3 linked regions of the Schizosaccharomyces pombe genome follow. The protein of the gene in region 1 interacts with the protein of each later gene in a biochemical or structural test. Each region holds a gene or a part of one and is shown in the gene's direction. Other genes may lie near its edges.

Region 1 (3,426 bases):
CATTGTAAGAGAAGGGCGATATGCTTTGCACATCATTATCATCGCCTGCACTCGTTCTCTCTCAATAAAAAGATCCATCAAATAACCTCCCATGTTGGGAGCGACTAAATATAGATGGAAAAATTTATAGTAATCGCCAGTAGCCATCGCCGAACGGACTTCTAATGCATGTGTAACAGCAGCGTTTGTTTTGTCTTCTTCTTTTAGATTGGCGAGAAGGCTATTCATTTCTATAAATTGTTAATAATTTGAATTCAAAAGATATATTCTTTTAAGCAGTAAGCCGTAATTAACTTACCAGATCGATTTTTAGTGAAGAGCATATACAGAATACGATATGCTAAAAATTCCTTAGTATTCCCTGGTATACCAAAACTGTAAAGATGAAATAATTGAGTTTGACATTGGTTATACTCGCCAACATCACCCTAGTCGAACGTTAGAAGAAGAAATGATATTTTAAAGTAATTAACCGTACCTTTTCAAGAGCTATACGAGCATGTATTTCGTAAACTAATACAGAAAACTCATTTTGAATCCTTTGCACAGTTAAATCCTGTCTTAAACTTTTAAATTGATCGCATATATATGCATAGTTTTTCTCTTCTTTCCATTTCTTCTTTAAAAGTTCGAGAGTTTGCTTAAGAACTGGAAGGGGTCGAACAGTATCCGGATCAGGAGCCGAAGTTAATCGCAAATACCTTTTCTCTAATTCTGTGGACCGTCCTATAATAGCACCATTCTCCGGGTTGACTTTTAGCTCTTCAGATTTAGCGTTATTTTGAGAACGAGAACCATTTTCAAACCTTCTTCTTCTTTTTTCTTTCTTATCCACTTCATCTTCTTCACTTAAAAGTGAAAATTGATTTCCAGAAACAGGCTTCTCAACCTTTCTTTTTTTATCTTCGATGATTGTATTTTGAGCATTTGTCAGTTTCCTTAGGGATTCTAAATTCATAGAAGACCAATCAACATTCCATATGTTTCCCATTTCGTATTGACGAGAAATTAGCAATTTTACTTCATCCTCTAATTCTGGCTGGCTGTTTTCCTCAGCGTCTTGGATGCATCTACCAATAAATTCTTTCAAAGAGTCCGGCCAAGGGCTATGATGTTCTTTTTTCATATTTAATATTTTTCATTGAGCTATATGATTAATGCTAAAGTTAAGTACTTTTCTCAACTTCCTCAATTGCTAAAGTGGTGAGTACCGAGATTGTATGAGAAGTGCGAGTCCGTCAGCTTAACCCTGTCAGTAACGTTGTAAGTCGATTTCATTATCCAACCTTTCAATCAATAAGGATTAATTTATTACTATTCAGTTGATCGTTCATCATTTTTTCCTTTAAAAATTTAAAAAGTCATCAAATAATTCAACGGTTCCACCTAAACTTGTTTGTTCGCTTAAAATTTATGAAACCAACATGGAAAGTAGTTAATATTAACTCACGCTATTCACGCATATTTTATTCTGTATGCCTCATATAGCCTTGATTAAACTACTAAAAGAGAGTAATATACCGAATTATCAAGCCTAAAACACTACCTCCCAATAAAGCAATCGTAATTCATTATTAAATAAAAAAAAATTTGAAGACTGCTTCGAAAGTTTTGTAGTAATATCTTGAAGAATGTAGGTCTAAATTCTAAGCTTTTGGTGACATTATTTAAGATAACTAGCAACCGGAATGATTAAGCAAGAGTCATATTAAATAAGTACGGAATATAAACACCAAATTCAGTGGTGCATCAAGTAGATAGATTTTATATTTTTGAAACAGCTGGTAGTATTAGCAGCATTAAAAACATCGTTTAAATGTCTCTGTATTAAACACCATATTGACATAAAACAAACTAAGCGTTCACCACTATTATGATATTATGAATGATTACATGATTTCAATAATTAATAATCAAAATTAAATGATAAAAGTTTTATTAAATATATTCATTTTCTCATGGAGCGACAACAGATTATAGAGTCTTTACGCAGAATAATTCCCACTGAAAGTACAGAATATAATGAACGGCTTATTAGTTTAGGAGAGTCATTTTTGGAATGGTCCAAATATAAACATAATCTAAAGGCGACAGAAGAGTTATGCCGTCCTTATATGGCAGCGCACTTAGCTTGTGAACTGTAAGTAACTTCTGATGTTTAATTACTCTACTTGAACTTGTTCTGACTCTTTAAAAAGATTATCCAATGATTTAAATTTGGAAATAAATTTACTAGCGACTCCAATTCCAAAAAAGAAATACTATAAACTTTTCACTTACTTTCAAGAAATCTTATCTCCATTAACTAAATCCTTAGCAGCTAAAGATGATCTGATGGAAACCATTACTTATCTTTGTACCAAACTAGGGGGCTCAACTGCTATACCTTATGTTAAACAATTGGTGAAAGCCGTTGTTACAAACGACATGCGCATCGAACACAAAAGAGGCATCATAATCGCAGCTTATTTACTAGTATCGGCAAAAGCTTTTGGAAAAGACGAACTTCATATAAATCACACCGAGAGAAGAAAGGCACAGAGTGTTTTACAGGATACAAGTTCTGCATTGCAAATTCAGTATTGGATGCATGTCCTCTCAGAAAGTTGGCAGTATAAAGAAATCCCTTTAAATGGTATAGAGGGTTATGAATCTCAAAAGCAACGGATAAAACCTTGGAGTGGGATAGCAAGCATGATTCAAATAGATTACGAAAAACGACTTCAAAATTATCCAATATGGAAGGCCTGCATTGAAGAAAGAATCCAATATTACAAAAGCCAGCTTGAAAAAGATGGTACTGCTTCATGAATACAATTTACTATATTAATTTTTTTTTGTACATTAAACAACATTTATAAACGGGTACACGATATCTTTAGTGATATATACAAATACATGAGTAAAAAAAAGTTAAATTAGACTCTAAGCTTTACTAATAGACCACTCCAAATTTGTAATAGACACTTCTGAAGAGGCATTTTCATCATAGTCATACCAATCATCCTCTAATACTATTTCGTCAAAAAGTGTATTACTTTCAGCACCATTAGCTATCCATTCTCCCTGAGGAATGAATTCGACTAGTTCACATCCTCTGCATTCCAATACGAGAACTTTTTTCGTCTCTTGAGAATCATTGTAAGGAGAGAATGGCCCCTCTATAACGAAAGAGCAAGTTTTGCGACAATTTTTGCACGTCCATATGAGATTAGCCTCGCCCTTGCTGCCAGGTATGCTGTGAGTCTCGCTGCGGGAGATTTCAATGGCATTGTCGTGAATCTCTCGACAACCACTACATTGGACTTTAAAAGCATAATAGAAGGATTCTTCATCCTTGGGAGCTAAATTTTTCACACCAGTCAACTCAGCGTTTAAGTTAAGAGCAAATTTTCCCATATTGCGAAAGAAACTCTAGGAATGCAG
Region 2 (3,759 bases), 940 kb from region 1:
AAACCACGCATAAATATTTAGTCATTATCCATTATTAACAATTATCATTTTTAAGGATTTTTAATCGTTTAAATTCTTGGTAATTTACTGATGGTAAAATGTCTATGCGATTAACTTTCAAGGGAGACAAAAAGATGTAAGATAAAATGAAATAACTGCTCGAATGTGGTAATTCATATTATATTGTTCATCACTAACAAGAAATCAGTCAAAAGAAGAAAAAAAAGAACACAAAATCACTTCAATCTTCTCTAGAATCAGCTGAAAACGATCCTTTTTGGACGGACGCAAACGAGCTAAATGAGCTTGAGGGTCCAGCGGTTATATAGTAAGCTTAACTTCAATATTCTTATACCTTTTTTTCTAATTTACTTACAACTTTATGTAGTAAAATAGACGATGATGCTGGTGTATCTCTTGGAATTGAAGAAGTTAAAGAAAGTTGCGTTCTTCTTCCCCTCGACAAAGTTTCGCTAGAGCCAGAATTGACGCGCCAGGTGTTTTTGTTATCCATACTGAACAATACTATACTATTGAAAAGCTGTTTAGGTAAATACATGTCATGTAGTAAGTCTGGAGACTTGTATTGTACGCAAGAGGCGGTAGGATCACAGGAACAATGGATAGCGGAGAATCTGGGCTCAGGATTTTGGGCTTGGAAAAGTGTATCAACGAAAAAATATTTAACATTAAGTAGAGAAAAACAAGATCAGGCCATTGCATGTGTCTCTGACACTGTCATTCCTGAAGCCAAATGGAGAATTCGAGTACAAACTCGTTTCCTAAAGAAAAACAAGTCTTCTTTATTTGACAACCCAACCATACATTCCAGACAATTAGAATCTATGTAAGTTATGCTATTCTATTTTATTGGGGTTTCCCTTCTACTTTCGTCATTCTAACTTTGTAATTTTACAGGGCTGGAAGAAAACTTTCTACCGATGAAAAAAAGACCCTCAAAAAAGCGTTTAAGGAAGGAGTTCTTCATGAAGCATTACTAGATTTACGAGTATCTTCAAGGAGCGACAAATATGGTTAATTTTTCGGATATTCTTGATAAACCATTAATATCTTGACTTACTGATTAATGTACGATTACCTGCTGGACCAAAGCTAGCAAAAACAGATTTGATTTTTTCTCTTGAATTTTAGGCACCTTGTATAGCTATTGAGACTCCTTTCAGCTATTCACTACTTTTATGTATGAATTTACAAAGCTTTATGGTAATTACTCATTTCAAAAGTGAAGTGTTTTACTTCATTCCTTAATTTTAACGAACTATTTTTTTTTAATAAAAAATGAATATTTAATGAATCTGTTGAAATTCATTCCCTTCATACATGTATGGTTTTACAAATAAATGCAACAAGTAAATAATTATAGTCATCAGCATCGCTTGAAAAAGATTAAAATAGTTTTAGATTATTACTACTATTACCTAGTCATTATTTCAGCTTCAAAAATATATTTCTATACTGGCCCTGTCCTTAAGGCTGTACGCCAATCTTACTGCTCACCTTTACCAAGAATCGAAGTAACACCCTGCATCTGTCAAGTCAAGAGGAAATTGAAAAAAATAATTAGAAAAGAGACCAATTAATTGCATTTGTTAATAAAAAGGCTAAATTTAGAGGATCATTATTTTTACAGTGTATAAAAACCATAGGGATGTGCATCTTCAAGTTTTTAATATGAGCTCATCCCCATTCACAAATCTTGGGAATTTGGACACAGAAGCAATCTATGAAAATAAGGAAAATGAATACCAGACAAACATAACTAATGAGACCTCAAATGTTCAAAATTTATCAAGTGGTAATGATGATCAGCAGTATCCCAATTCTACGAATGATGATGCAAATAATGGATTAACTGCCTCTCAAGCAAAATTGCAAGATATTGCCGCTGTCACTTTATTTCAGGATAATAATATTTCAACTACGACTTTAGCTCCGCCTTCACCTTCACCTTTGCGTCTCAATGAAGCTCCTCGCAGACGTGGAAGACCTCGAAAATATCCACCAAAACCAATTGACGAAGGATCGGAGCCTATAATCAAACGGAAGCGTGGCAGACCTCCAAAAATAAAAAGTTCTTCTCCTTCCACAAAACTAGATGATCCCTTAAAGCCTAAAAGAGGTAGAGGACGTCCTCGTTTACATCCTCTCCCAGTAGTGCAACCGTCTGTAGATGAGGGAACAACTCAAAATAATCTACAGATGGGGTTAGATGAGCCGAATATCATAGAAGGTTTTGCCGAAGGGCATGCCAATTTAAGTGAGCTGAAGCCAAAGAGAGGGCGTGGACGACCTCGAAAAATAAAACCAGAAGAAGGGAGCTCAAGTCAAAATGGGCTTTCTCCTTTGGTAGTATTACCTGCGAAAAGAGGGCGCGGGCGTCCACCTTTACATCGATCTGAACAGAAGATTGCAAATACTCCAATTTCGAATAATGTAACGGTTGAATCGACAGGTACAAATCTACATACTCATTCACAGTTGAATCCAGAAAATGAACAATCTTCTTCTGAATTCTATTCATTGAATCCACAATCTGAAATACGGAAGGAAGTTGTAGTCACAGATCAACCTTTATTTTCTACTGCAGACGTCCCAGTAAAGCGGAAACGTGGACGACCTCCTTTAAATAAGCCCAAGATACTTTTTGGGACAAGTACTGAAAATAAAATAGATGAAAATAGACCCAAACGAGGTAGAGGAAGACCTCGCCTTGAAAGACCGAGTGGCTTGCCTTTAGATTCAAAATCACAATCCCTTTTTAAAAGAAAGCGTGGTAGACCTCCAAAAATAGCTAGTGGAATTGTACCTTTAAGCGCCTTTACTAGAAAACATGAGGATATGCTTCATGACTCAGACGCGTTGTCACTTAAACATTTTGCTATTACATCTCCTAATAATCAACAGTTCCTTAATAATCAACAGCGAGAATCAGCTCCGTTGCTTCCTAGAAAACGTGGACGACCACCGAAAAAGCGTCAAGAGAATGCGGAAATTCGTAATATCACACCTGGTTTAACCGATTCCTCTGTTCACTCCTCTTCAGCAACTCCGCAATCCGAATCTTCATCACCCAATTCAGTTTCTCCACTACTTCCTTCATCTGACAGATTACCCCTTCTTCGACAATCTCAATTTACACCTCCTCCCAAAAAACCTAATTTCGAAGTTGCTATTATTTCTCCTAAAAAGAGTCAGCATAAACTTTATCCTAATCCTGTCGTTGAGTCTGTATTTAATGACGTCCCATATTCTGAAATTGACTCACAGTTACATACTATTAAATCTACGATTGCTGCAAGGTTGTGTGGGAAAAGCCATATCCCTCTTGTAGGACATATGGATGAACAGACAAAGCTTTATCAATGGGTCCGACAAACTATAGTACTTGGCGAAGGTAATTCTGTCATTATTGTCGGTCCACGGGGTTCTGGAAAATCAGTTCTCGTGGATGATATACTATCACGCGCAGCTCAGGAAATAAATGAAAAAAGTTATGTCGTAAGATTGAATGGTACGTACCAGACAGATGACAAACTAGCTTTGCGTGAAATATCGCGACAATTATCTATTGAACTTGAATCTATCGAGTCTGATGAAGCATTAAAATCAGAAATGAACTTTTCTGATACACTTACAAAATTGTTAGCTACATTGTCTCATCCCGTGGATTTGGGAATTGCAGAAGACGTAATGACAACGTCTGCAGCCGTGATATTTGTTTTAGAAGAGTTTGACCTG
Region 3 (3,759 bases), 2.0 Mb from region 1:
CAGTACTTAGAATATTTCAGAAAAAAGAATCCTTCCTTCGAAAAAGTATCGGAACTTCTATACTTTCTAAACATATCGACGTTCCCCATCGAGCTTGTAATTTCTAAATACAATCCATCAAGACAGTATGATTCTGTCCTATTCTTGGAATCAGTCAAGTACGGAAATCTACTTTTCGATTAAAATTGTTAACAAATATTAGATTTTTACTTCGGGTTCACATTATGTGGACTACTGGAGGTGATCTTCCGCTCTCTAATCCTGTATTGCAGCGCGATTTCAATGTAAAGACTTTCATTCATCTTCACAAGAAATACTCTAATTCAGGAAGTGCTGTTGTGTTAAAAAACTCCAAGAAAGTTGTTCCCAGACTTAATACAGTCAATTCATCGCTTGACTTCTTGCAAAACCGAACTCCACGTCTTTCTTCAATTCTACCAGATGAGATTTTTACAAAAAGACTTCCCAATCTACGGATTTTTTCTAATTTTATTAAAGTTTGTCGTCCGCTTATCTATATGTTGTTTATGTGGCATTGGAAAAGAAAGCAAAAATCGAGTTCTCTTAAAGTTCGACCTTGGGGGCCTTGGATTGTAGCGTTTGTTTTTGAAGTTATTTCTCAATTAATTGATCGAAGATGTGAATCAGCGACTTCTAGTCGCCAGGGGTTTGGACTAGAACGCCGGACAAATCAAAGTCAGTTTCAGCATTTTGTGGTTTGGGCGTTTACTCAAGGACGATTTTATGATGAGTTTACCAAGTATGTAATTTATTTGAAAGGTTTTTATAACAAAATGTCGTTTTTCAACTCACTAACTAATTTAGACACTGGATAAATCGTTCCCTAAGCTGGGTTAATTCAATACCCGTTTTTGGTAAATATCTACTTCTTTCAGTTGAGGAAAGACAAAAAAGTCTCGAAAATTATATATCCTCTGGTATGATATTGATATTTTTACTGCTACTAACCTTTCATTCAGTTAGAAACTATTAAGGAAGCCTTGATGACCAGAACCTATAGAAATCCTTTTCTTATTTATTTAACTCGGTGTTTTTCTCTCTCTTGATTTCAGTATTGTTAGTATTTCATTTATCTACTACGTCTTTTGTTGCTTTGATGATTAGTCTTCATTCTTCTATAAAACTCAGTACACTTTTATCGAAAATAAAGCAAAAGCTTCAACATTGCATGCTACGAAGATTAGCAACGTTATCCATACATGAGTCAATCAGTATCTGAAATCTGCGGTGCAGATATGTAAGGTTTAAATAAGACTTTAAATTTCACAACTAAAGAATGCTGTGTTAAATTCAGACAAAGGAAAAGATGTAATACACTGAAATTCGGATATTATGATGAGTTCATATCAATTACTAAAAAATGCATTTTGATTTTTTTAATAACATACTTAAAACAGTTAACGGCTAGATTACAAATTAAATCTAAGCAATATTTAATTCTACGTACTCCGCACTAGGCCATTTATTCAAAAATAATTTTGGCTATGCATTAGCGGTGAAGAAGTTAGTATTGAAAGTGAATTAGCTAGGAGAAAGAAAACTTCTAATAACTCAAGCGAAACGAACTTCTGTTCTTTACTACTATTAATCAAATATATTACAAAAAATAAAATTTTATAATTCTATTTTAGAATAACTGTTTAAGCACATTTTGTTACGACAAGGCTTCTCAATAAAATACACCTTGAACCAAGTACAACGCTTATAGTAAACAATCAATTAAGATTTCAATAATTCCAAAGTTTAAATTGTATTTGAAATGTACGAATATTATTCTTCGTTTTCCATTAATTACCTTTCGTTTATTTGTATAAATTAGTCCACTAGTTTTTGCTTCGAGCGATGAATGTTTCACTGCACGACACCATATGCCAAAGCATAAGCATATTGCCATGAAATGCATTTGTATCAGTTGGAAGACGAATTAAAAAAGAATGTCTTTTGCAGGGAAGATCAAATAAAGAAACTTTCATGTTTACTTTTTAATAAGGATTGTCGTGTTCCAAGCATTGTGCTTTACGGAGTTGCTAGTACAGCAAAGACTTTTTTATTGCGGACCGCTTTTGATTTGTCAAAAGAAGAAAATGTTTGGATTAATTTGCAAGACTGTTTTACAGTCGCTCATTTCTGGTACCGGATCCTTATAAAAGTCGGTGTTGACAAAGATATAGCATTAAAAAAAGGCATTAATATCAGTGGATTTATTTATTTACTGGAACAGGCAATGTCCAAAAGGGACTATCATACATTTTTGGTACTTAGTTCCTCTCCTATTTTATTACTCTTAAATACTAATATGAGTTATAGGTGCTGGATCAAATAGATGATTTCGCTGAGGCTTCTACTATTCTATTCTCACAATTAGCTCAGCTTCCGATTGTTGTAAGTAAATATTTACAGACCCACTGATTAACTATTTTAGGCAAACATTCCCAATCTGTCAATCATTTTTGTACTTCATTCTCACCCTGCTCAATACTTGGGAACATTGTCTATTGCAGTGATTTTTTTCCCACAATATACCCAAGCGGAAATATTAGAGATATGCCAAAAAACACCTCCTAATTTAGATTTTTTGGATAGATCTGGCGATAGTGTTTTTGAAGACGAAATTGAGCTCAGCGTCTGGATGCAATATTGCTCGTTTCTTTGGAGTGTTTTTGGAGTGCAGTGCTTAAATGACTATAGGTCTTTTCGTAGTGTTTTGGATAGATATTGGCCAAAGTTCATTCAACCTATAGTTGAAGGAGACATACATCCTGCTGATTATGCTCAACTTCACAAGCTGGCTAAAAACTTTTTAGTGTCAGATGCTACGGTTACTAAAAGACTTCACATAATCAACCCGACTGAAATAAAAAATCTTCTTGATTCCAAATCTATTAACTTGTCGCTCGTTTCCAAATATTTACTCGTTTCTGCATTCCTAGCATCTTATAATCCAAGCCGGTTAGACGCCCAATTTTTTTCATTTTCTAAAACTTCGAAACGACGTGGAAGAAAACGTAAACAAATTCAAGATGAAGGGGTTTTATTTTCCAAAATACCAAGAACCGCTGGGAGCAAAGGCCGGTCTGCTGTAAAAATATCCCAACTTACATTAGGACCTAAACCTTTTGAAGTAGAAAGGTTGATTGCTATTTATTATGCCATTTCTTCCCCGGTAGAGAAAGTTCTGACCGCTGATGTTTTTGTTCAAATAGCTACACTCGCCTCCTTAAAAATGATACTTTCGGCTTCCAAAGGTGTGCTTCGCTCTTTGGATAGCCCTAGATACATTGTCAATGTCTCTCGCGAATATGTATTAAAAATCGCAGATTCACTTTCGTTTCCTCTCGATAGTTATTTGGCGGGATAGCTTAGTATTATGGTTTATTTTATTGCATTACTGAAATTTTGAATATCGTAGTTCTGTCACAATTCATTAATTTATACAGAACTATATGAACATCCATTCTATCTCCCCATAACATGTTATTTTACTGTTTAAAGGGCCCAAAACTTAAAAAACATATTTTTTTTTGTTACTTCTGGAAAATAAAAGAAAATGTACACTACAAACAATTCGATTACGCCTCTGTGATTCTGTGTAAACTGTTACGTATTTAACATTATGGAAGTTGGCAAAGCTGTAAAAAGCAAAAACTAGCGCCGAAAACACTCTTGACAAAAAAATAAAGTAATGTGCTGCTAAGATGGATACATAATATATATCAAGAGGCAAAGTTTCAATCATAA

What was found.
Region 2: the proteins of orc6 (region 1) and orc4 form a complex in vitro, tested with the Schizosaccharomyces pombe proteins (4 studies listed by BioGRID).
Region 3: the proteins of orc6 (region 1) and orc5 form a complex in vitro, tested with the Schizosaccharomyces pombe proteins (3 studies listed by BioGRID).

Annotation. Positions count from the first base shown.
Region 1 is NC_003423.3:2,965,397-2,968,822, forward strand, and holds orc6 (origin recognition complex subunit Orc6), read left to right. Parts: upstream 1-1,856; 5' UTR 1,857-1,958; coding exon 1,959-2,140; exon of another isoform or gene 2,141-2,197; intron 2,198-2,198; coding exon 2,199-2,811; 3' UTR 2,812-2,866; downstream 2,867-3,426. Other genes in the region: iss9 (nuclear export factor), read right to left, coding at 1-230, 299-428, 479-1,126; protein ess1, read right to left, coding at 2,926-3,399. UniProt on the Schizosaccharomyces pombe protein: Component of the origin recognition complex (ORC) that binds origins of replication. It has a role in both chromosomal replication and mating type transcriptional silencing.
Region 2 is NC_003423.3:2,023,851-2,027,609, forward strand, and holds the start of orc4 (origin recognition complex subunit Orc4), read left to right. Parts: upstream 1-1,537; 5' UTR 1,538-1,692; coding exon 1,693-3,759. Other genes in the region: FRG1 family mRNA-processing protein, read left to right, coding at 99-136, 209-328, 389-847, 919-1,039. UniProt on the Schizosaccharomyces pombe protein: Component of the origin recognition complex (ORC) that binds origins of replication. It has a role in both chromosomal replication and mating type transcriptional silencing.
Region 3 is NC_003423.3:952,436-956,194, reverse strand, and holds the start of orc5 (origin recognition complex subunit Orc5), read left to right. Parts: upstream 1-1,877; 5' UTR 1,878-1,918; coding exon 1,919-2,275; exon of another isoform or gene 2,276-2,328; coding exon 2,329-2,403; exon of another isoform or gene 2,404-2,443; coding exon 2,444-3,379; 3' UTR 3,380-3,759. Other genes in the region: Pex16 family peroxisome import protein, read left to right, coding at 1-158, 203-760, 826-938, 981-994. UniProt on the Schizosaccharomyces pombe protein: Component of the origin recognition complex (ORC) that binds origins of replication. It has a role in both chromosomal replication and mating type transcriptional silencing.